Caenorhabditis elegans: one gene and its partners. The protein of the gene in region 2 interacts with the protein of the main gene of each other region in a pairwise test. Each region holds a gene or a part of one and is shown on either strand. Other genes may lie near its edges. The genes, in order: acs-24, F53G12.4 and ttm-2.

Region 1 (7,895 bases), 3.6 Mb from region 2:
TTCCTGTTGTGAATCATTTTTTCGAGAATCGCAATGAGGATTCTGAAACTTCTAGTGGTGTTCCTTATATTTAACGTGGTTGGAGCATATTCTGCCCTTCGACATAAGAATTCAGGTGCACGGAATCGGTGGATGGTATGAATTTCAACTTGTTTCGAAATGGCAAACTTCTCCCTTCTTTAGAGTGCATTTTCTGATTTTTTTTTCGAAAACACAAATTTGCTGCAACTTTTGTAGATCAAAAATAAGTTGCTCCGTGGCCGTCAAAAATTGACGGCCTAGTTTTTCTAAATTTTATTTTATATCACATATGTTCTAAAGCATACAGAAATCTTTAGTATTCAGAGTGTTTGCTGTTAAAAAAATTAGAAAAAAAAACGAAATCTCAAAAACGCATATAATTTTGGCCGACACAGTATATACAATTGTTTAAAAATTGCACGTTTCAAGAATTAAGTTATTTTCTTATTCCTCGGCTACAAAAAATCAGTAAAAACACCAAAACTTTCTTTCAATTTTAGCGAGACGACGAAAATGCCCAAGGTCTCATGGGTGGCTCAATTGGAATGGTTATCAAGAAACCAGTAAGTGGTCCCGCAGCGAAGAACGGTGGGAAATCATAATTTTGGACTTTAATGAAGATTTATGAGCATTTTATTATATACATTCAACTTCAATGCAACATATGACGGACTAGTTTTCCAGATGGGTTTCTAGGCAGTTCTTCCACAAAAATGACGTCATCCAGTTGTTTATAGGATGCCAAGTTGTCTGGTAAAGGGTGAACTTGAAAAAGAAAAAAAAGTTACAAAAAGCTACCTTTCACAATTTTAAAAATGTCTGCTTTTGAATCCGGGTTTCCAATAATTTTTGCAGTTAATTTTTCTTGATTCTGAAATTGGTATTTATTGTGTTGTTTTGAATCCGACGAAATCATAAATGAGGCGGAAATGAAATTTAGTAAAATTTCCCAAACAAATTTTTTAAATGAAAGTTTATCAAGAACTAATCAGTTATACGAGAGGCGATGGCCGACCGTTTTATTTTTGGGTATCGGCTTTGGCTGACTCTTCTGTTGTTGAAATGTGTGTTTCAAAGACAATAATGCTGAAGTAACAAATCAGAATAAATTGAATAAGAATTTTGAAAAATTATAATAATGTATTTAAACATCAACGGCTCTCCGCTCTTAAGTAAAAAATCAAGATTGTAAACGTAGGGAAAGAGCATTTGTCAAAAGTGTTCAAATACCTCTTCTAGGAACAGTGCGTATCTTCGCTACATATAAAAGAATCGGATCATGTCCGTGTTGCGGAATTTCTTGTCACTTTCCTAATGTACAGCATTTGACTCGCAAATTTACCTGATACACGGCACAATCCAAGACACCCTCCACTTTCCGGATCACGTCTTCAACTTCATTTGGATTAACTTGCCATCCACGAATTTTCATCATTTCCTTGGATCTTCCCACAATCATTAGCTCAATTGTCTTGAAGCTCAAGCATCCCAGGTCGCCTAAATTTGAAAAATTGAATTAATTTCTTTATTTCACGAACCAGTCTCCATGAATCCTTCTTCCATAGCTGTGGCAGATTTCACAAAAATCTCATTATTTTCAGGATTGATCTTAAGCTCGACGAAAGGGAATGGCCATCCAACAGTCTTTCCAGAAGCTTTTCCTTTTCCAGTACTGCACAGGAGTACACCACATTCAGATGTTCCGTACACTGAACATGAAATTTGTGTGAATGTATACTTAAGGCAGGTCATGTCAAATGGGACAGCCTGCCTTGTGCCTACCCTGTTAAATTTCCAAACATCGTTCAAAAAGATCGCCAAATTACAAAAAAAAAAGACCGAAGGCAGGCAGGCATAAATACGTGCATACCTTGTATGGTAGCTAACATGTACGTCCTTCCATTTAAAAGTGTGTAATTTGGTCTCGAAACGCTTCACATCAAATAGCCAAAAATTTACAATTTACCGGTGCCCCGTTCAAATTCACGTTGATCGTGGCTCACCGAAAAATATGCTCACACCTTTAAGTTCAAGTGCAACATTTTCTCCTAATGAAAAAACTTACATTGTAACTAAACTTACATTGTATCAAATTCTCGAGCTCCGGTAATCTTTCCGCAACCTTTGCAAAATTCTCCGGAGGACTTGCAGCAGCGCCAACATATATGGTTTTCAATGCGGAAAGGTCGTAACTGGACACTAATGGATGATTAGCGAAGAAATTGAGAACGGGTGGAACCAGAAACAACACTGAGACTTTGTAATTTTGGCAATTTGCCAAGAACTCATGCTCATTCCATCGTTCGTTTATCAAAACAGTACATCCAGAAAATATCATGGAGAGTATTGTAATTAGGCCACCCGCATGGAAGAATGGAAGAACTCCATAGCAAATGTCATCAGTTGAAGGAGAGAAGAATCGAGGATCTGATCTAATTGCCTTGATTTGATCGATTTGGGAGCATAGAATTCTTTGAGTATACTCGAATTGTTTAGGTGGACCTGTAGTTCCAGAACTAAAAAATACAATGACTCCCTGATTCTCTGGAGTTGAAGCAGTTGAAGATGGAGTTACATTTGAAGTGAATAGCTCCGATATAAGATTCACTTCTCGTTCTTCGAATTTGTCCAAATCCACATCATCACTGACAATTATGAAATTCGCAATGGATTTGGAAATGTACTCATCAATCTCATCTGAAAATTTAGTAATATTTGTATTTTAACGATTTTTCACGGAGTTTCAATTGCTCAATTCTTGCCAAAGTCATCGAGATCTAGTTTCACAGAACGATGGATATTCAACGAAGGTTCTTGAAGCCTAAGCGGAAGCCTAAGCCTAAGACTAACTGTAAGCAAAACCTCACATTTTTTATAAGATGGATTTAGTGGAATTACTGTAACTCCGGAAAGTTGCCCGGCCACAATTATTGCTAAAATATCTGGAGAATTCGTGCAGAATAGTGCAATACGGAGCGGATTTGTTGTTCTAAAAATTATACACGTTCAAAAAAAAACAACATAATTTCTCACTTTGTCTTTTGCTCATCTAGAACGTTCTTCCATTTTCCAATGTATTCGTGAAATTCTTTAAAAGAAATTTCCCTGTCTCTCCAGATCTGAAAACATGTTATTTCTTGAAGTTGGGCTCAAAAATTGAAGCTTACCAAACACGTTTTGTTCTCAAAAATAGACGTTTCTTCAAGAAATTCACGACCGAAATTTCGCATCATTCTTATTGTACAGAATGTTTCTTTCCAGAAAATAACGTAACATTTAATTGGGTCCAGTTTTCAAATTAGCCGCGGTTTGGAGGCTCAGACTACTGTATTGACATCATGTTGACATTGACAACAAACCACAAATAAAATTACACATTAAATTTTTAGAGACCCATATAATATCGGCAGTATAAATTTAAAAAAGAAGGAAACTGTACATCGGAAAATGAATCATTTCATAATATTTTTTATTTTTACTATCCTATTTTTCGTTGAAACAGCTTCGAAGGTAAGCACACAATCACAATTTACGCGCAAATGTTTCGTTTTAAATGCCTTTAAAAGTATAGAACTAAAATCATAGGTAGGCAAGTTTTCATGCCTACATGCCTGCCTACTGTCGAAGTTTTATATTTTGTCCAGAACTAGGTTTTAGACATTTTACAATTGCAGATAAATTTTAATTGGAAAATTGAACAAAAAAGAACAAAGTTCATTTGTATTATGACAAAACGGGTCTGTGTAGGTACAAGGCAGGCGTAGGCCACCTGACCGACAGACAGGAAATTTTGATTTTTAAGCCGATTTTTGTAAGCCAAAGTTGAAAGGAAATTATCAAAATAAATAGAAATATTATTGAAACTATTTTATAACAATTTGAGTTTTCTTAAAAATTGCATGCAATCGTGCCAATACCCACTTTATGGCCGCAACAAGTTTCAAACATTTTCAGATCATCATGGGCGGTATGGACGGATTTCGCATCACCGATTCTACCACAACAACCCTATCTTCTTAAATAAAATGTGTTTTTCATAGAAAAAAGTTTTACGAGCCGAAGAAAAAGAGATCAATTATCAAGATTAAACCCGTCTTTGTTTAAATTATAATCAGTTGAACATCGTAGAGATGAACTGAATGACTTCCGAGCAGGACGTCGTTTTGTTCGATTTGAGCTTATTAATGAGATGAACACTTCGAAGAAGAAACAGGCCACCTGAAAAAAATGTTACTGTGGAAGAGAAATTGTATTTTAAACTAGTCCTCGGAAGAGTTGAGGCTTTAAAAATAGCGGAGCAAGGGCGCTCTAACAAAAAAGAAAAATAAATTCAGCAAAAAAAAGCAAAAAAGGAAAGTGAAAATTGTTCACTTTCTAATTTCCCACAGCCCAAAAGTAAAGAACTCACTTCTCCAATAGTGATCACACTGACACCCATCCACAATCCCAATTGTCCACCAAAATCAGATAAAAGGTTCGACCATCCATAGGCTTCGGATTCCAAAAGTGATTCATAATTGAGTTGTTCAAAGTACACTTCAATCATGGATCCTTGTTCTCTTTTATAATTCAAACAATGATGGGCAGCCATTCCAAGTGGGCATCCAGATAAATCTCCAGCAATCGCAGGCCACCTTGAAGCCGAGTAGGAAACAGAATAGACATCTTGGCTGAAAATGTTTGCAGAGTTGGTTCAATGAAATGAAAATTGAGAATTTATTCGAAATTTTAGTTAAATTTTCCAGAATTAAAAACTCACTTGCAAGGTTGCTTGCACGAACATCCAAGCTTCTTCGAGTCTCGAGTTGCCACGTGCATCTCGTTTTTAATACATTCACCTGAAACAAATTCAATTTTTAAAAAGTTCTAATAGTTTCCAAAAAACCTACGTTTATAGGGGTCATCTACCGGACAATTTTTCGATTCCCGGTACGGTGGGAACCTGGGATCTCCACATCCACAAGTTTTTGATAAATGTTTTTGAATACAACTTCTCTGGCATCCTTCCGTATTATAGGCCTTCTGAGTGTAAATGAAGTCCTCAGTTTTTCCTTCTCGAACACAATCTCCATATGGAGCAGGCAGGCGGACCATTGATTTCTGAGCGATTTTTTTTTGAAATTTGATATAGTTGGCACGGCTATAAAAATTGCGCATCAAATAAGACGAAGGCGGATAGGTGTATGGGCGGCTCATTTAAAACAGTACTCTCAAAAAAAGGCTTACCAATTTAATACCAAAACTGCTAACAAAACCAGTTGGCGCTGAAAATCCAAGAGTATCTGGAAATGGTTGCTCGTCGGTTGCATGAACTGTTAACCGGACTCCAGCTGCCTCAGTCGTTGGCAGGTATTCAGTTACATTCACAAAAACTTCTAGTCGAAGTCCTAAATTACTTGCTTTAGCTTTTTGGAAAATTTAATACTCACCATAAGCCGGGCCGGACCGTTCATTCGTATTATTGCCCAGCTTCTGGCCATATGTAAAGCATGCACCATACGTTGGATCAAGGTATTCCACGAAATCACTGAAACATCATCTTAGTTTTAAGTTACACCCCAGAAAATCTTTACTGTTTCACATTGCACTCCCTTCCGTTAAAAGAACATTTCATAATAAAATCAGACTTATTATAAGAAATCTTCCATTTCTCTTCTTCCGTCAGCGCATCGACAGCAAAAATCATGTTCTCCATTGCTTTTGCTCGTAGAGCAATTCTATCTTTCACACCCTAAAAAGCTTTCAGTTTTCTTCTAGAATTTCAGTTTCTGTGGCTGAAACCTACCGTATACCCATACGCTTTATCCCGTTCTTCTTTCTTTTTCACAATTGGAGACATTGTAGTTGATGGCTGAATATCCCAAAACTTGACTACGCGATCATCTGAAACCTTTTGTGAACTTTCAAATTCCAAATTCCAAAAAATTAAAATTCCCACCTAAACTTGTATCATTAGTTTGCGGAGGGTCGATCCGCACGCACATTTTGATCGGAGTAGCGCAGAGACAGGAAATCGTTTGCTTTTTCGGTTTATCACTATACACGCAGTCACCCATTGTGTTACATCTGAATTTTTCAAGTTCAAAAAACTCTGTGAAATATGCTCAACCTGCTGCACTTCCTCTCCTCCCATTCCGGTTCTTTGTAGCATGGCCATATTTGTTCGTTCTTTTTATTGTAGAAACAGAGGCACGTTTTATTGGAGTTTTCCAGATCCATGTCGGGTACCTGGAAAATGAAGAAAGCTCGAGCTCATTTTTTGTTGATAGAAACATCAAACAATTCAAGGAAAACTCACCGAAGTAGACACACAGCCATGTTGTTTAGTACAATTACAATGCGAGTAGACAGCTAGTAGACCCTCATATCTACTGAGAAGACGCTCATGGACTTTCCTCTCGGGAGTTCTTCTTTTTCGTTTCTGAAAGTTGAATATCTAGTTAAAGGTGGGGTAGCGCCAGGGAGAATTTTGCCAAGAATGGTCTAATTTTTTAAAAATGATTTTTGATAATTTTCAGTTGAGTTGCCAAATTATCGGAAAATTTGGATTTCAAGAATTTTAGAATAATACCTGTTTTTCAAACGCTTGCAATGCCTGGATGCAAATTAGAATTGGCTCAATGTCTGCCGTTTTTTAAGGAGATCTCTGCATGCCTGCCTCCTGCCTACACGTTGCCTACTGAACCCTAGTAAAATCACCTTAACATTTCCCTTAATTTGAAAGCAATTTCCATGATGACAGATACAAGTTTTTGAGTCGATTTCTTCTTCCAAATCCATATCATCAGACTCTTCACACTTGCCCAACCAATCACAGTTACTACACGTGGATACTTGAAATTTTTGAGCAGATGCACAATATCTGGGACCACTGGATTCAGGGGAAATGCAAAGTTTTGTGCCGTTTTTGGAAAGTTGAAGTGGCCACACCAGTTGTTTCTGGAATTTTTTGTTTGATAGAGAATAGTCTGAAATGTTCAAGTATACTTATAACGATGCAATTTTTAAAACTTCATTTTTTCAAAAATTTCACTACAATTTTGCAAATATATTTTTGAATTATTTGAACTGCTGCGCAAATTGGGTACTGTATTACGGCTAGAGCACGGCAAATTTTGAAAAAGCGCATTTGCCGAATTTGTCGAACTCGGCAAATTTTCATATTTGCCGCATTACGACCTATTTTTTAGTTTGTTAAAATAAAATTTAAAACATTTTTCGAGTTATATTTATTTGAAAGAAGACAATTTTAAATCTTTTATATATCCATTCCGACAATTTTAGACAATTTTCTACCTCCAAACTTACCGTAACCTCATCCGAAACACAAGTGTCCTCAAAGCATTTACACGTTTTCAATTGATTGGATCCCTCTGCCAAGTGGCAAATTTTATGTGTCCAATCTTTTCTTTGGTGACAATTCCAGAATATTTCATCATCGTCGGTGTCACCAACTTTTGACATATCCTCAAAAGTGACACATGTCTGAAAATGGGAATATTAGAGGGATTTCGTAAGGAGTCTAAGTCTAAAAATCGATTTGCCTGGAAAAATGGTATTGTGAAATAACTGTGCTATAACATAAGTAACTGCGCAAAACCTTGCAAAATTCAATTACAATTTTGATTAGAAAGCACCGACCAATCAGTGAAGTGCTTTGCTTGTCGCTGATTGGTCGGCATGGGAAAAACTCTACTTACACATTCCACGTGCCCATAATCATGAGCAGTAAACATTCCGTGCTCCTCCTTACACAGTAAATCTATCGGGACCATTTTTGAATTAGCTGATCGCTTTTTCCTTTTTGAATGTGCATTCCCATCACTTTTATCAATTGCTAGCTCGAATGCTTCAATCTGAATATCTAGAATTTA
Region 2 (5,448 bases):
GGTTGTGGGCACTACCGCTCCCCAAGGGGACTAGGTTTCCGTGTGGAAGAGAAAATGTTTATACTCTTCCATGTTATTTGCCAATAGAGCGGATTTGCATCTGCGAGGATGGATGAGTTGTTATGCCACGCAGCTAATCCCTATGGCCTTGGACTTTTTCTTGGTAACTGAAAAGTTGCTTTCCTAGCAATCGCACTAGCATCAATGAAAGAGTTTTTTTCGTTTTCAAAGTCATCAGGACTTACCCAGAAATTTACCAGTAAGAACTAAAATAAAAATAACCAAATATAAATTGAGAAAACTCATCTCTCACAGAAAATCGGCGCCAAACTTTGAAAAATTACACTCAAATATGGTTTTGTGTACATTTTGCTCCTCTTTCTCAGTGGCTCCGCCCGCTCGACACACATTTGTTCGTAGTTTGCGCGAACTTTTTTCAAGTTGAATTGTTGAAATTCCTAGGTGAGAATTTATTTATTTCAAAAGAAATTTTTTAAAAGAAGAAAATTTTAAAAAGAATAATCGGATCCTCCGGAAGATAGTAGACCGGTGTCGAAATCTTCAAGCTCGTCGATTGATTCTCCTGAAAATTTTTTATTATTGATTTTTCAGGAAATTCATCGATTTGTATGTAGAGGCATGTTTTTTTTTTACTTTTGCTCCGCAAGCGGAATATGCGCCTTTAAAATTATAAGCTACAGGAACAATGATCGATTTTTAGGAGAGTTGCATAATCACGTGCTCGCTGGCTGTCTCAAAATTCACGTTTTCTCGCGGACGAGAAAACTTGAGAAATATGAGAAAATGGCCTAGAAAATCCTGGAAGAGGAGAATTCCTCGTCCACAGCCAAAATAGCGTGTGAAAGAAGAGATGCAGACGGCAAAACGGTTATTCTTTGCGTTTTTCACGTTCAGAGAAAAAAGTAGTATCTGCGTCTCTCACGCCCAATGGATAGCGAGAGTTGGCGCAAACGTGAATTCTCAATGAGGCGCGTTTGCTTCAAGCTTATGCAAAAGGACAGCCAGTGACCACGTGCATAATTTTTCGAAATTTTTGCATGGTGCAAGTTCAAAGTTACCTTCTGACAAGACCAACGGCTCCACTAGCTCCTGTTCCTTTGGTTTCGCTTCCTCCTTCTTTTTCTCCATAGGCAGTATAGACTTTTTCTTCGCCACGCCATCCTGCTCGAAATCCTCTAAATCATAATCCACGTTATCCGAGCCGAAAATGGCGTCGATTTCCCGACTTTTCGCGCTTTTTGTCAGCGGTGGTCGTCCCATGGAGAGCGGCGGAAGATGTGCGTTGAAAATCGCCGGAAGTGGGTCAGAAGTGCTTGCCACGTCATCAGTGACTAACGCGGATTTTGACGGACCCCATGCGTTGGGAATTTGGCTTAGTTCGATCATTTTCTCCGCGCCAGCTGCTGTGGGTTTCCCCAAGATATCCGAAAAAGTCAACTTCTCCTCGGAAGATGACGACGCGGATGACGTGGAAGAGTCGGAGGAGGACGATGAATCGTCGGAATCGTCTTCTGCCTGGTTGGATAGACGTGCGAGCTGAAAAATCGATCGATTTTTTTGCCAAGAAAAGTAGGAAAGTAGGACTCTCATGTCGGCGCCGCAAACGCCGCTCTCACGCCGCGATCTGAAATCTTTATAGCGATGCGCAAAATCCAAAAAGTGTCGGACCCGGAGTGAAGTTTGCACCACATAGTGTCATACGCTGGCACTAAATTTTACGCGCGCGCGCAAATACTTTTTTAATCATCATTTGAGTGATTTAGGGCATTGAAATTTTTCTTTTGAATAAAAGTCGCGAAACATCGATTTTAAAAAATCGCCTTGTCGACTTTTGTTAAATATTTCAAAAAAAAATTATTTAACGCAACTCACTCGTTCCCTCTCCATTTCCATCCGTTTCCGCATCGTTTTTCGAAATTCCTCATCACTAAGCGGTGTAATTTTCAACGGTGCTCGCTGTTTATCGACCATATTAATTTTTGCAAACGGGCGGCCGGCGCCAATCGATTTTATCGATTTTCGTTCAAAATCGTCACCGGTGCCATCGCGAATATCGATTTTCAGCTGACTTCGCAATAGATTATCGATTTTTTCCCCATTTTCCACGTGTTTTTCTGCACTCTCCATGTAGTTTCCAGACATTTCTGTTTTCAAGACTTGAGATGATATTGGATATCCATTCTGCTCGAGCCAATCGGCAATCATGCTATGGGTGACACGTTCTGTAAATTTTCAGAGTTAAGGCCACGCCCAATTATAGGATTTTCTTCAATGTGGGCGCACGATGTTTTTTGTTTAAATAGAAACTATGTTATCGACAAAAAATTGCACGCGCTCAAATTATAAAAAGTGGGCGTGGTAATACCATGTGTCGCGTTTTTTTTCAAGATTTCATGAGAATTACATGAAGATATATATATATATATAATCGAAAAAATACGATCGCACAAATTTCTCATAATATATTTTTTATCTACCTTGTTGACTAGGCTCCTCCCCGTCCTTCGACAAGACAGCTACAACAAAATAACAACGGCAACAAGATTGGGGGCGGAGTAAAGTTCAACAGGTAGATCAAAAATAAATTATGAGAAATTTGTCAGATCGTACTTTCTCGATAATAATTTTCAATGTTTTTTTCAGAAAATGAAATAACAACGCCTATTTTGCAGTTTTGCAAAAAGTGGCCGTGGCCAAAATACCCGTAGAACGCGGGGTTGCACTGAATCCTTGATTTTCTGACATTTTACCTATTACGGAAACACAAAATTCTGAAAATGCATATTGCACAATATATTTGACGCGCAAAATATCTTGTAACGAAAACTACAGTAATTCTTTAAATGACTACTGTAGCTCTTGTGTCGATTTACGGACTCGATTTTTGAAATTTATTTATTTTCGAATATTTTCGATATTACACTTTCATTCGTTTCTTCGTGTCTTTATTTTCTCATTTTTATCTAATTTTAAAATTGAGCCCGTAAATCGACACAAGCTCTACAGTAGTCATTTAAAGAATTACTGTAGTTTTTGCTACGAGATATTTTGTATTTTGAATTGTGTGTTCCTGAAAAAATTTTGAAGTTTTTAAGTCGAAAATTGTGATTTTTTTGGCGAAAAGAGCATTTTTCATAAAAGAAAAATCCTTTTTTTTTCAGAAAATTTCAAATTTTCTAAAAATTTCACCTCTATACGTCAAATCCCTACTCGTTTTCTTTGGCGTTTCCCCCAACGTGGCACTTATCGTCGCGCGGATATATGTCTGAAACAATGGGACACCTCAAAATATAATAAATATTTTTGAATTATTAATATATTCAACTATTGTGCTATTATTACCCGCAATGGTGCATATTGTGGCAATTCGGACAATTGATCGGCCAATTGACGCAGGATAGGATTTGTTGAGTGCATTTAATAATAGTAAAGGTATAGTATAGGGCGTGCGCGAGTGAGCCAAAAGCTCGGGGAGTTGCTATGGATACCAGAATATGGAGAGACGACACGAATCGCTTCATTCACATACACCAAAATCTGTGGAATATATCAGAACTTTTACAAAATACGATAAATTTGATGGGTGAGGTGGGGATCACTCGAGTTTTTAATTATAAAGAGGTGCTATAAATATAAAAGGCCTCTCAATTCTCCGTTAGTTGTGCGTAGTAGAGAGGGGGAAAATTGGGAGTTAAACACTAGGTGAGAGATAGAGAGAAAAGAGGAAATCCTTATAATATATATAATTTTTGTTTAAAACATGAGTTGGTCGTCCTATCATAATGCAAAAAAGAATAATAGAGAAAGTTACAGATTTTCCAAAAAAACCTACTGTAGGAATATATATTGGGGGACTGCATGGGTTACATATATAAATATATATAATATAGATATTTCAAAAATATGAATAACAAATAATAATAGTTATATATAAATATATGTGATTTTTTTCGTTTTTTTTGTCTAGGATTTTGGGGTGAGAATGATGGTGATTTTTGTGTGTTCTAGTAATGTAGTAAAGAGGTGAGAAAATGGGAATGGAGGGACTCGTACACCGATGAACAAAGTAGAAAATGGGAAAAAGAGTCTTTTAAAGAATGGAAAGATGAATTTGGAACTCGTTGAGGATGGGTTTTTGCTAGATGAGAGTCTACACGATAGTAATGGAATGATGAATGGATCCACAGCTTATCCATTGATCGGCACGAGAGTATGATCGTTGTGATCGCAGGTCGATGAAGTCGGCGAGGCAGATGCTGAAGCCAACGATCCTGGGCTCAGATTCATGTTTCCGCCAGACCAGATTGTGCTGAGAAGACCGAAGCCGGCGGATGTTCCTTTGAGGGAGGACATGAGCCTGCAAAAAATTTGATTTTTCATAAATTTACAATTGAAATTTTCTAGTTTTTAAAGAGAATATCACACTTTTGTGGAAAAAATTTACGACTTGATATTTCGAGATATGTCGAAATTAAAAAATATGTATGATAAATTGTAAATTTCAGTAATTTTCCTTTAAATTTCAAGTTTTTCTCATAAAATAAATAAATTTAACTTTACCTCTTAAAATTGGAATTTCACCTTTTTCTCTCAAAAACGAGGTTTTGAAAAAATCAATTTTTTGCATGTGAAAAAAAACATATTTTTTTGAAGTTCAAAAGAAAATTACAATTTTTCTTTTATTGTTCAAAAAAAATTTTCTTTTTATAGATTTCTGACGGACAAAATCCAATTTTATTTAAAAATTTTTGAATTTCAAATGAAAATTATAATTTTTATAGAGAAAACTACGATTTTACTCTTTTTTATTTTCAAAAACGGATAGGTTCAAGATTTCGGAAAAATAATTTTTTAATGTGAAATTTTTTAAACATTCTGAGTTTTAGAAACGTTATTTTTTATTTAAAAAATTGATAAGAAGCCGTCAGGTTCCGAGTGGAAAACACGAAAACTTGTTTTTTTTTTAAATTTTTTAGCGGAAAATCAAATTTTCTTTCAAAAATTTAGAACTTTGAAGGAAAATTGCAATTTTTAGTTTTATTTCAAAAATTTATAAAATTCCTTCAAAAATATATACCCATTGGTTGGGGATTCCTCGCGTTTCTCCAATCCCATCGACGACCATGCGGACAGGGCATCGTACTTGCGGCTGAGAATTTCTGAAAAATCCTTATTTGTCATTTAAAATTCTTATTAAAATTCGCAAAAAAAGCTTACCGTTCTCCATAATATCATTAAGCGAGTTGTTGGTTCCCCAGTAGTCGTAGGTTGGCAGATCTTGTTTCGCCGATTGTCCTCCTCCCAACGATGGACGAGAAGACAGTCCAGTACCGGAAAGAGATTCCGGAGTCAACGAACTACGCATCGATGGGAAACTGCGGAGCAACGCGTCCAATCCCAACGAGCTCTCCATTCCGAATGGCGACG
Region 3 (7,144 bases), on a different chromosome or scaffold from region 2:
CTCAGGAAAAGTGTGACGTGACACGCTCTTTGTCTTGCAAAACCAGTCAAAAAGTCTGTAGCTAAAGTTGGCGCAATTCCCGGAGATCAAATCAAGAGAACACACTTTGGAGAACTACGTGACATTCGGGGGCCTTTCCGGGAGAGTGGAGAGAGGTGAGCCGAGCCCCGTGAGATATCATGCCATAATTCCCAATTTCCGAAACTTCTAGAAACGCTTTTCCGCACACTAAACCAAGATAACTCGAGACCACAAACTACACATCACAAGTAACACAAATTTACTACACCAGCGCCTTCAACTTAAGACGTCACAACGTCTCGTGTCCCATCGCCACGTCATCCTAATCAGATCAAAACCTAGTGAGCCGTAAGTGAATCAGGTCGGCAGTGATGGTGAAGTGATTCAGAAACAAGTCACATTCCACCCGTTTTTTCTTGACTTCTTCCTGCAAACCGTCTTTCCCTTGTTCGTCAAAGACAAATGACCCCCTCCCCGAAACTCCGCCCATTTTTGCCTCCAATTTTTGAGAAGGCAGGTCGTTGTATAAAACTAAAAGTTTTCCACAAAGTTTTATGGTATTCCATTATTCATTTCAAATATTATTTCCATTCTATTGATTAACTGATTTTTAATTTATTCTCTGATATCTGATAAAAAGTTTAAATCAGAAGACACAATACAATCACATTCCGATCTTATCATTCATCTATCCGTTTCCTCGATTTTACAACTTAATGATCACGATCTTCTCTTTTCCATTTTCCCTCAATTCTACCTGGTTTTGATTTCAAAACTTACTATTTGGTTTCATTTCAGAAGTTTCACACATTTACAAAAATGCTCGGCATGATGAACTCGCCTTCCGATTCTGTGGAGTTTTACGCCACAAACCGAAAAGTTTCCGATGAGCTGGGAAGTGCGGCGGAGAATTCTGAAGAATTGAAGAAATTCTCAGAAGTTAAGCAGAAAGATGTGGTTTCTTATACAGAAGGTAAGCTATTTTACAACGTCACCTTTCTCTCGCATATTGTTAACTTTTGGTTGAATACCGTCGAATTTCTGTCGCACTAACTCTAGAAAAAGTGAAAAAAAGCTAATTCTGAGGCCGTGTGCAAAAAAGTTATCAAATTTTTGAAAAAAAAAAATTAAAAATTAAAAATTTCGGCTTTCTGAGTTCAAGAACTGATTCAATTTTTTCCAGACGGCCGTAAAATGATCAATGGGAAGCTTGTCAATGAAAGTGATGCTCCAACAATGTGGGGATCCGCGTTGCTCCGTGGAAGAATCCGTACGATTACTGGAGCTCCACTCACTGACAAGGAAAAGAAAGAAGGTAATTTCGCAATTTCTTTCAATTAATTGAGCAAAATTGTGCTCCAGAACGCGAGAAAGTGCGTCGAAATTCGAAAAAGTTGGGGAAAACCATTGCGGTGGTGGCGTCACTACAAACTTTGGCTAGCACTGAAGTCATCGGGCAAGGTGTGCAAAATTAACTGCATGGCTTTTTCTAACTGCAAAAAATATATTTAAACTTATTTTCAAATAATTTCAGAATCCAACGCCCCACAACCAGTAGAAATCACGCCCGTCGCTGTTGTTGGCTCCGACAGTCCTCCGAAATAAATCAATTTATTCAATCAATTTATTCAAAATAATGATTACACTGTAGTGTGCAATAGTGGAAGACAACAACACAAAGGACCTCGTTACCCAAAACGCTTTATGACAAGTTTTATTGATTTTTCCGGAGTTTTTCTGTTCATATTGTTTTTTTTAAATACAATAAATGATTTATTAAAAATTAATTTCAAGCAAGCAAATCTACCGGTAAATTATTAAGAGTGTTGTTGGATGCAGAGATATCGACGAGAATGTCTGAAAATTCAGACATTTGGGAATTTATGATCAAGTGAATATGTTCAAAAATATTTATAAGACAGCCAGGCAGGCACAAGAATATTTAAATGTCTGCTCAATGTTGCCTACGGAAGTATGGGTTTCCAGCTTTTTAGTTTTTATAATATTTGGAATTTGGTGCAACTTGAGCACAGCGTAAAAATTTTAGAGCACCGTATAAATAAATCAAGTGGTCGATTTATTTTATTTGGTCCAATTTATAATATCCAAAATCTAATTTTATTTTGAAAAGTTTTGTAAGTGTTTGTTTCTTTGTTGTTTGTCAAAATTGTTTATTTTAATTTAGTAATTTGGACCTGGTTTTAATTTCTGCCCTGAAAACTTACCTTCTTTTTGCATTGACCTTCTGGAACTCTGATCCATTGTAACAATTGTAATGGGAACTTCATAGGATGCCAAAACAAAATTATGAGCTCTTCCAATTGTCACTTTTAATGAATATTCCGTTTTAAACAATCCATTCACATGAATATTTGGTGGTAAAGCAGGAACATTGAATGTCGGACGGAATGAGTAGGTTTCCCCAACAGCGATTTTTGTTTTACTGGGAAGGCCAACTCCTGAAATTGTACTTTTTTAAGTTTTGATAAGTTAATTTTAGCTAATTTTTGAGGTTTTTGAAGTAGATATTATTATAAATTAAAAAAGTACCATTTACCTGTAGTATCAATTTTAACCGTATCGATAACTTCATTATTTTGATTCAAAGCAGAAATGCGACGAACAATGTTCAAATGCACATATTTTAGTGATTGTTTCCATCTGAATAAGTAACCTTAAAATTTATAACATATTAAATTTTTCCGAAACCAACCTATTACAAATAGTGATACAATTTTCTAGTCTGGCAGTAGTTGTGAAAACATCTGTAGGTAGGAGCATTTCCAAAGAAATTGATCGCTCCCTGGAATAATATTAATTTTGTAGAACTGGTGTTTAAAATATTTTTGAAACTTCTTTAATTTTTTTTTCAATTTTTAATTCAAATTTGAACAATTTTTGGGTATGGTTGCATATTTGAATTTGAGTTTCCTGTCAAAATTCATTCTTACTTTGGAAAGTTAAAAGTTTTCTGAAAATTGACCGGCTTCGGAGTGACCTGCCGTTTGATAGATTCATAATTTAGTACGACGAGATTTTCTTCGTGAGATGCAATTTTAAATCCTTGGTTGTAAAGTTGGATCTGAAAAATATTATTTTTAAGTTTCAGAATCTTGAACTCCTTGCTTTTGAAAACGTGTAAAGTTTTGCCGACAAATGCGTAGTTTGCCTGAAGATGGGTTTTACCTTTTGAGCCTACACGAGAAACTAGGCACGTTGACTTAAAAGTGTGCCAGCATTAATAGACAACTTACTTCCAACGTGAACCTTATGGATACCGGAGATCCTGGGCAATAAAAACTCGGAGGTGCAAAATGAGGTAGTTCAATTTGAATAGGAAATGTTGCAGCTGTTGTGAATAAAGAGGAAGATGATGCAGATGCAGATTCGCTTGAAAAATGCCGATTTTGATTTTCATCATAGAATACATCCAATCCAAGCATTTCGCTAACTGTTTGATACTTCCAAAGTTGAGCTTTTTCGTCAATTAGAACTCGTGTTTTTGATGGTGGAAGTGGCGATCCATTACGGTTGTGATTAGGTGGAAGTTGTTGGAAATATTGAATTTCTCCATGAAGTCTGCCTTCTACACAGTCGATTTCGAGAGGGTGGTGGGGTTCGCAGACGACGTGACCCTGGAAATGTGATGTGAAATACAGGTCTTCATAGAACTTAAATTCGAAGTTTCAATACTTTTATGTTGCATAGATGCTGCGGGTGCCAATGATCAGTCCTTGACTCAAAATATAGATCATGGAATTGAAACCTGATCGATGGGAAATTTTGAATAAATCTAGTATGTAGACTATTCCTTTCAAATACCGCAAGTTTTTAATTTTCGGTTCCAGTAAATAAAATACATACCACCCATTTTATCGCAATAAAATTTTTTTTTAACACCCACTTGAATAGTTTGTCCAGGTTGATAAAATGGCCGATCGAGTAACACTGTGAATCGTATTTTGTCCAGCATTTTGGACTTCCCACCTGGAAAAAAAATTTAGAAAAATTCAAACATATAAGAAACAAACAAAAAAGATCAAAGCCACATTGTATACATAGTCTGAGTGTACTCGTAAACTCTTTGAATTACACACCAGAATATGATTATGAACAGGGCAGAGAGAGAATAAAAGATAGTTGATATATTCAAATTAAAGTTTCAGAGGACAACAAACTATCACACGTGATGAACATACAGGGGGGAAAGTCACAGAATTCATATATCACGTACGCTACAACTGCAGTAGAGTCATAAAAATATTGATTGAGATTAGAAAACTCCAGAAAAATCTCAAGAGAAGTAAATTAATTTTATCTTTGAGCTCTCTGAATTAATAAAAATTATAATTCCAGATGATTCAAGAAACTTCAGACTGAGCCTGCTATGAAGTCTCAAACATGCCTACCTTGTGCCTACATACGAACCTAATGGCAGAGTGCAAGAAACCGCTTGAGTTATAGAATGGGCAACCCTTATACTTTTACCTACATGAAATTCGGTATAGGCAGGTAGGCACGCAGGCAGGCCTCAGTTTGGGGTTTACGCCCGCATATGTGCATTCAACGGCAGTATTATTTCACATTAAGAAATAAAGGAAAAAGTAGAAAAGTGCAGTTTGAACGTAGAAAATAACTAGTTCTGAGTGTGTCAAATGAAAGCGTTCGTTTCCAGAATAATTAGAATAGAATAGAATAGAAGAACCTTTTGCGGATCGGTTAGAAGATTTTGAAAAGTAAATTGTTGGAGAAAAAAGAAAGATCAATCAGCTGGGGTGAAGATCAAAAGCAATCACTTTTGCACATATTGAAAAAAAGCTTGTTGATTTTATTTTGAACGACAAACAATCGTATGGAGGTCACAGTTCAAGACTGACGAGCAAAAGCTGACTGGAATTTTGAAACGAAATATTAATAAACACAACTTTTTGTAAAGTTAAAAAAAATTCAACTAAATTCTTTCAAAAGCTGCACAAATTTAAATGTGGGGTATCGTCCGGAGGGATTCTGTTTTAAAATATGGAAAATAGGGTCATAATGACTACTAAAATTTTAGAGTTTTGTTTTTGACTTTTCTTGTTATTCCATTAAAGACCTGACCATTTGAAATTTATTTTGTAACACTGGAAAAATTCATTTCAAAAAATTAGGAAACTTAGTTTATTTTGAACCCATCTTCTAATATTTAAAATAAAATCCCCATAGGCGCTCAAATTTGAGTTCCTTTAATTTTCAGAGGAGCTTGGAATTTTAGAAAACCAAAAATATTTTTTACAGAAAAAAAGCTAATAAGCTAATATTCCAATCAATTTCCAAAAATAGACAAAACCACCAAGAGCGATCAAAACAATCAATGAGAGATGCGAATTCGAAGTTGAAAGATGAAAAGGATAAGACCGACACATCTTCTCATTTTCTTATTTTTCTTCCGTCAACCTAGTGTGTCTCTATTCAACTTTTGAAGGTTACAAGATTCTTTTTTTCTTCATCTGTTCCTTATTTAAACTCATTTTCCGGCGGAGAATGATGAGTCAATTAAGATTGAAAGAGGGCAGGTGGAAACAGGAAGAAAAGGAACAGACGTTGTTAGCCACCCAAGGGGAGAGGGGGAAGATTTGAAATTAGGGTTTGAAGAATGAAGCTGAAGTTGTTATGCTGGCAAAGGAAATGCCTGACTGTCTGCCTACAATATCTTTGATTTTTAAGAAAATTCTGATTATTCAAGTTTTGACCATTAAACAAAAATTTGACTACACATTTCCAGAATTATAACAAATTTTGGGGTATTTTTATATAATGTTTGGCCACGCTAAAACATTAAGAGTGAAGTTAGACAAAATCCCAACTGACTCTACTCTACCTTAAAGAATTGTTTCTAAAACTTTTGTTAAAGGAAAACATTAGGCTTAAAAGCTCCAATTTAATTCATTTTTAAGAGCCAAATTACCAGAAAAAAATTCCAGAAAGCTTTCCTAGACCATTAAGCTTTCCTAATGGTTTAAACAGACAAAAAACACACGAAGAAACGAGAAAAGGGTGCAAAGGGTATTCAGCAAATGAGGTTGACACAGAGAGAGTGAACCGGTCGTTTATAAGTGTGGAATGGAAAAAGAAAAGAGAACAAACAGATCGGTACAGCCAGATATACTCTTTTTCAAAAGTCAATTTGTCTTAAGGGTTAAAGGTGAGTAAGAATAATAAGTGTAGGGTGAAGAATTATGGGAAAGTTTAATGCAATGATGGGAAAAAATTGAATTAAAACTGAAAGGCATGACCTAACAAGGATCTTAGATTGTCTCCCGCTGAGATGAATAAGTTGGCGGTAGATGAGGAAAAAAACTAGTTTTTTGAATTTTGGTTTTCAAAGTTTTTAAAGTGGACAAAAACACTCGAGCATATTTTAGTTGAATCAGAAAAACACAAGAGTGAATAAATGGAAAAATCCAATTTTGATTTTTTGTAATCTAAAAATTAAATTTTGATTTTAAAAATCAGTATTTTACTATCAACTTGTAGAATAAGATTTGAAGCGTAGTTTGTTAAAAATTTTTACGCTTCATAGTCTAAAACTAAATTCTTAAAAAAGAAACAAAATGAAGCAAAAAACATATAAAAGTATGGAATTAATTTTTTTCACATTTTTTTGAAAGAAAAACACCATTCTCATTGCATTACAGGCATACAAAGAATACAACTATTCAACTTTTGAAAAAAATCAAATTTTCAATTTCCGGGAAAACGACTCAAAATTTATGATGACTGTTTCAACATTGATAAATTTTCTTTGAACATTCCCTCCCATCACAAACACATCATTTTATTTTCACCAGCTGTCAATTCCACGCAAATTTGTGATTTAAAAGTGTTGTTTAACAGTCTTATCAGAAAAGAAAATCTGGACAATAAACAAGTCTCTTCGGAAAAGGAATCAGCTGACCGAAACACATGTAATTTGACACAGTTATCATAGAATAAAATGAATGAAAAGTCAAGTATGAGAAAAATGGAAATGACCATGAAATTTTTTGCGACAAGTGCGTACGATTCTTGCGTGCGTCACTTGATTGGCTATGAACATCTATGAATCAGCTCTCCTAAAATAAATAGCAATTGCAAGAAAAAC

The links.
Region 1: the proteins of F53G12.4 (region 2) and acs-24 interact in a two-hybrid assay, tested with the Caenorhabditis elegans proteins (one large-scale study listed by BioGRID).
Region 3: the proteins of F53G12.4 (region 2) and ttm-2 interact in a two-hybrid assay, tested with the Caenorhabditis elegans proteins (one large-scale study listed by BioGRID).

What each region holds. Positions count from the first base shown.
Region 1 is NC_003279.8:3,770,074-3,777,968, reverse strand, and holds acs-24 (AMP-binding domain-containing protein), read right to left. Parts: upstream 3,264-7,895; 5' UTR 3,255-3,263; coding exon 3,189-3,254; intron 3,141-3,188; coding exon 3,055-3,140; intron 3,011-3,054; coding exon 2,889-3,010; intron 2,719-2,888; coding exon 2,104-2,718; coding exon of another isoform or gene 2,051-2,103; exon of another isoform or gene 1,804-2,050; intron 1,731-1,803; coding exon 1,560-1,730; intron 1,519-1,559; coding exon 1,364-1,518; intron 893-1,363; coding exon 820-892; intron 772-819; coding exon 674-771; 3' UTR 624-673; coding exon of another isoform or gene 522-623; 3' UTR 501-521; downstream 1-500. Other genes in the region: C32E8.13 (uncharacterized protein), read left to right, coding at 34-135, 522-623; C32E8.12 (uncharacterized protein), read left to right, coding at 3,469-3,531, 3,976-4,041; Degenerin-like protein asic-1, read right to left, coding at 4,093-4,239, 4,430-4,691, 4,781-4,859, 4,911-5,121, 5,248-5,408, 5,451-5,548, 5,595-5,752, 5,807-5,904 and 6 more.
Region 2 is NC_003279.8:132,344-137,791, reverse strand, and holds F53G12.4 (LisH domain-containing protein), read right to left. Parts: upstream 3,456-5,448; 5' UTR 3,439-3,455; coding exon 3,364-3,438; intron 3,287-3,363; coding exon 3,211-3,286; intron 2,244-3,210; coding exon 1,894-2,243; intron 1,558-1,893; coding exon 1,080-1,557; intron 584-1,079; coding exon 510-583; downstream 1-509. Other genes in the region: mex-3 (K Homology domain-containing protein), read right to left, coding at 4,210-4,378, 5,099-5,180, 5,239-5,448.
Region 3 is NC_003280.10:4,762,377-4,769,520, forward strand, and holds ttm-2 (Protein ttm-2), read right to left. Parts: upstream 4,009-7,144; 5' UTR 3,995-4,008; coding exon 3,926-3,994; intron 3,657-3,925; coding exon 3,276-3,656; intron 3,104-3,275; coding exon 2,973-3,103; intron 2,825-2,972; coding exon 2,735-2,824; intron 2,683-2,734; coding exon 2,579-2,682; intron 2,481-2,578; coding exon 2,247-2,480; intron 1,879-2,246; coding exon 1,811-1,878; 3' UTR 1,783-1,810; downstream 1-1,782. Other genes in the region: F26G1.2 (Signal peptide protein), read left to right, coding at 841-994, 1,205-1,336, 1,384-1,482, 1,556-1,626.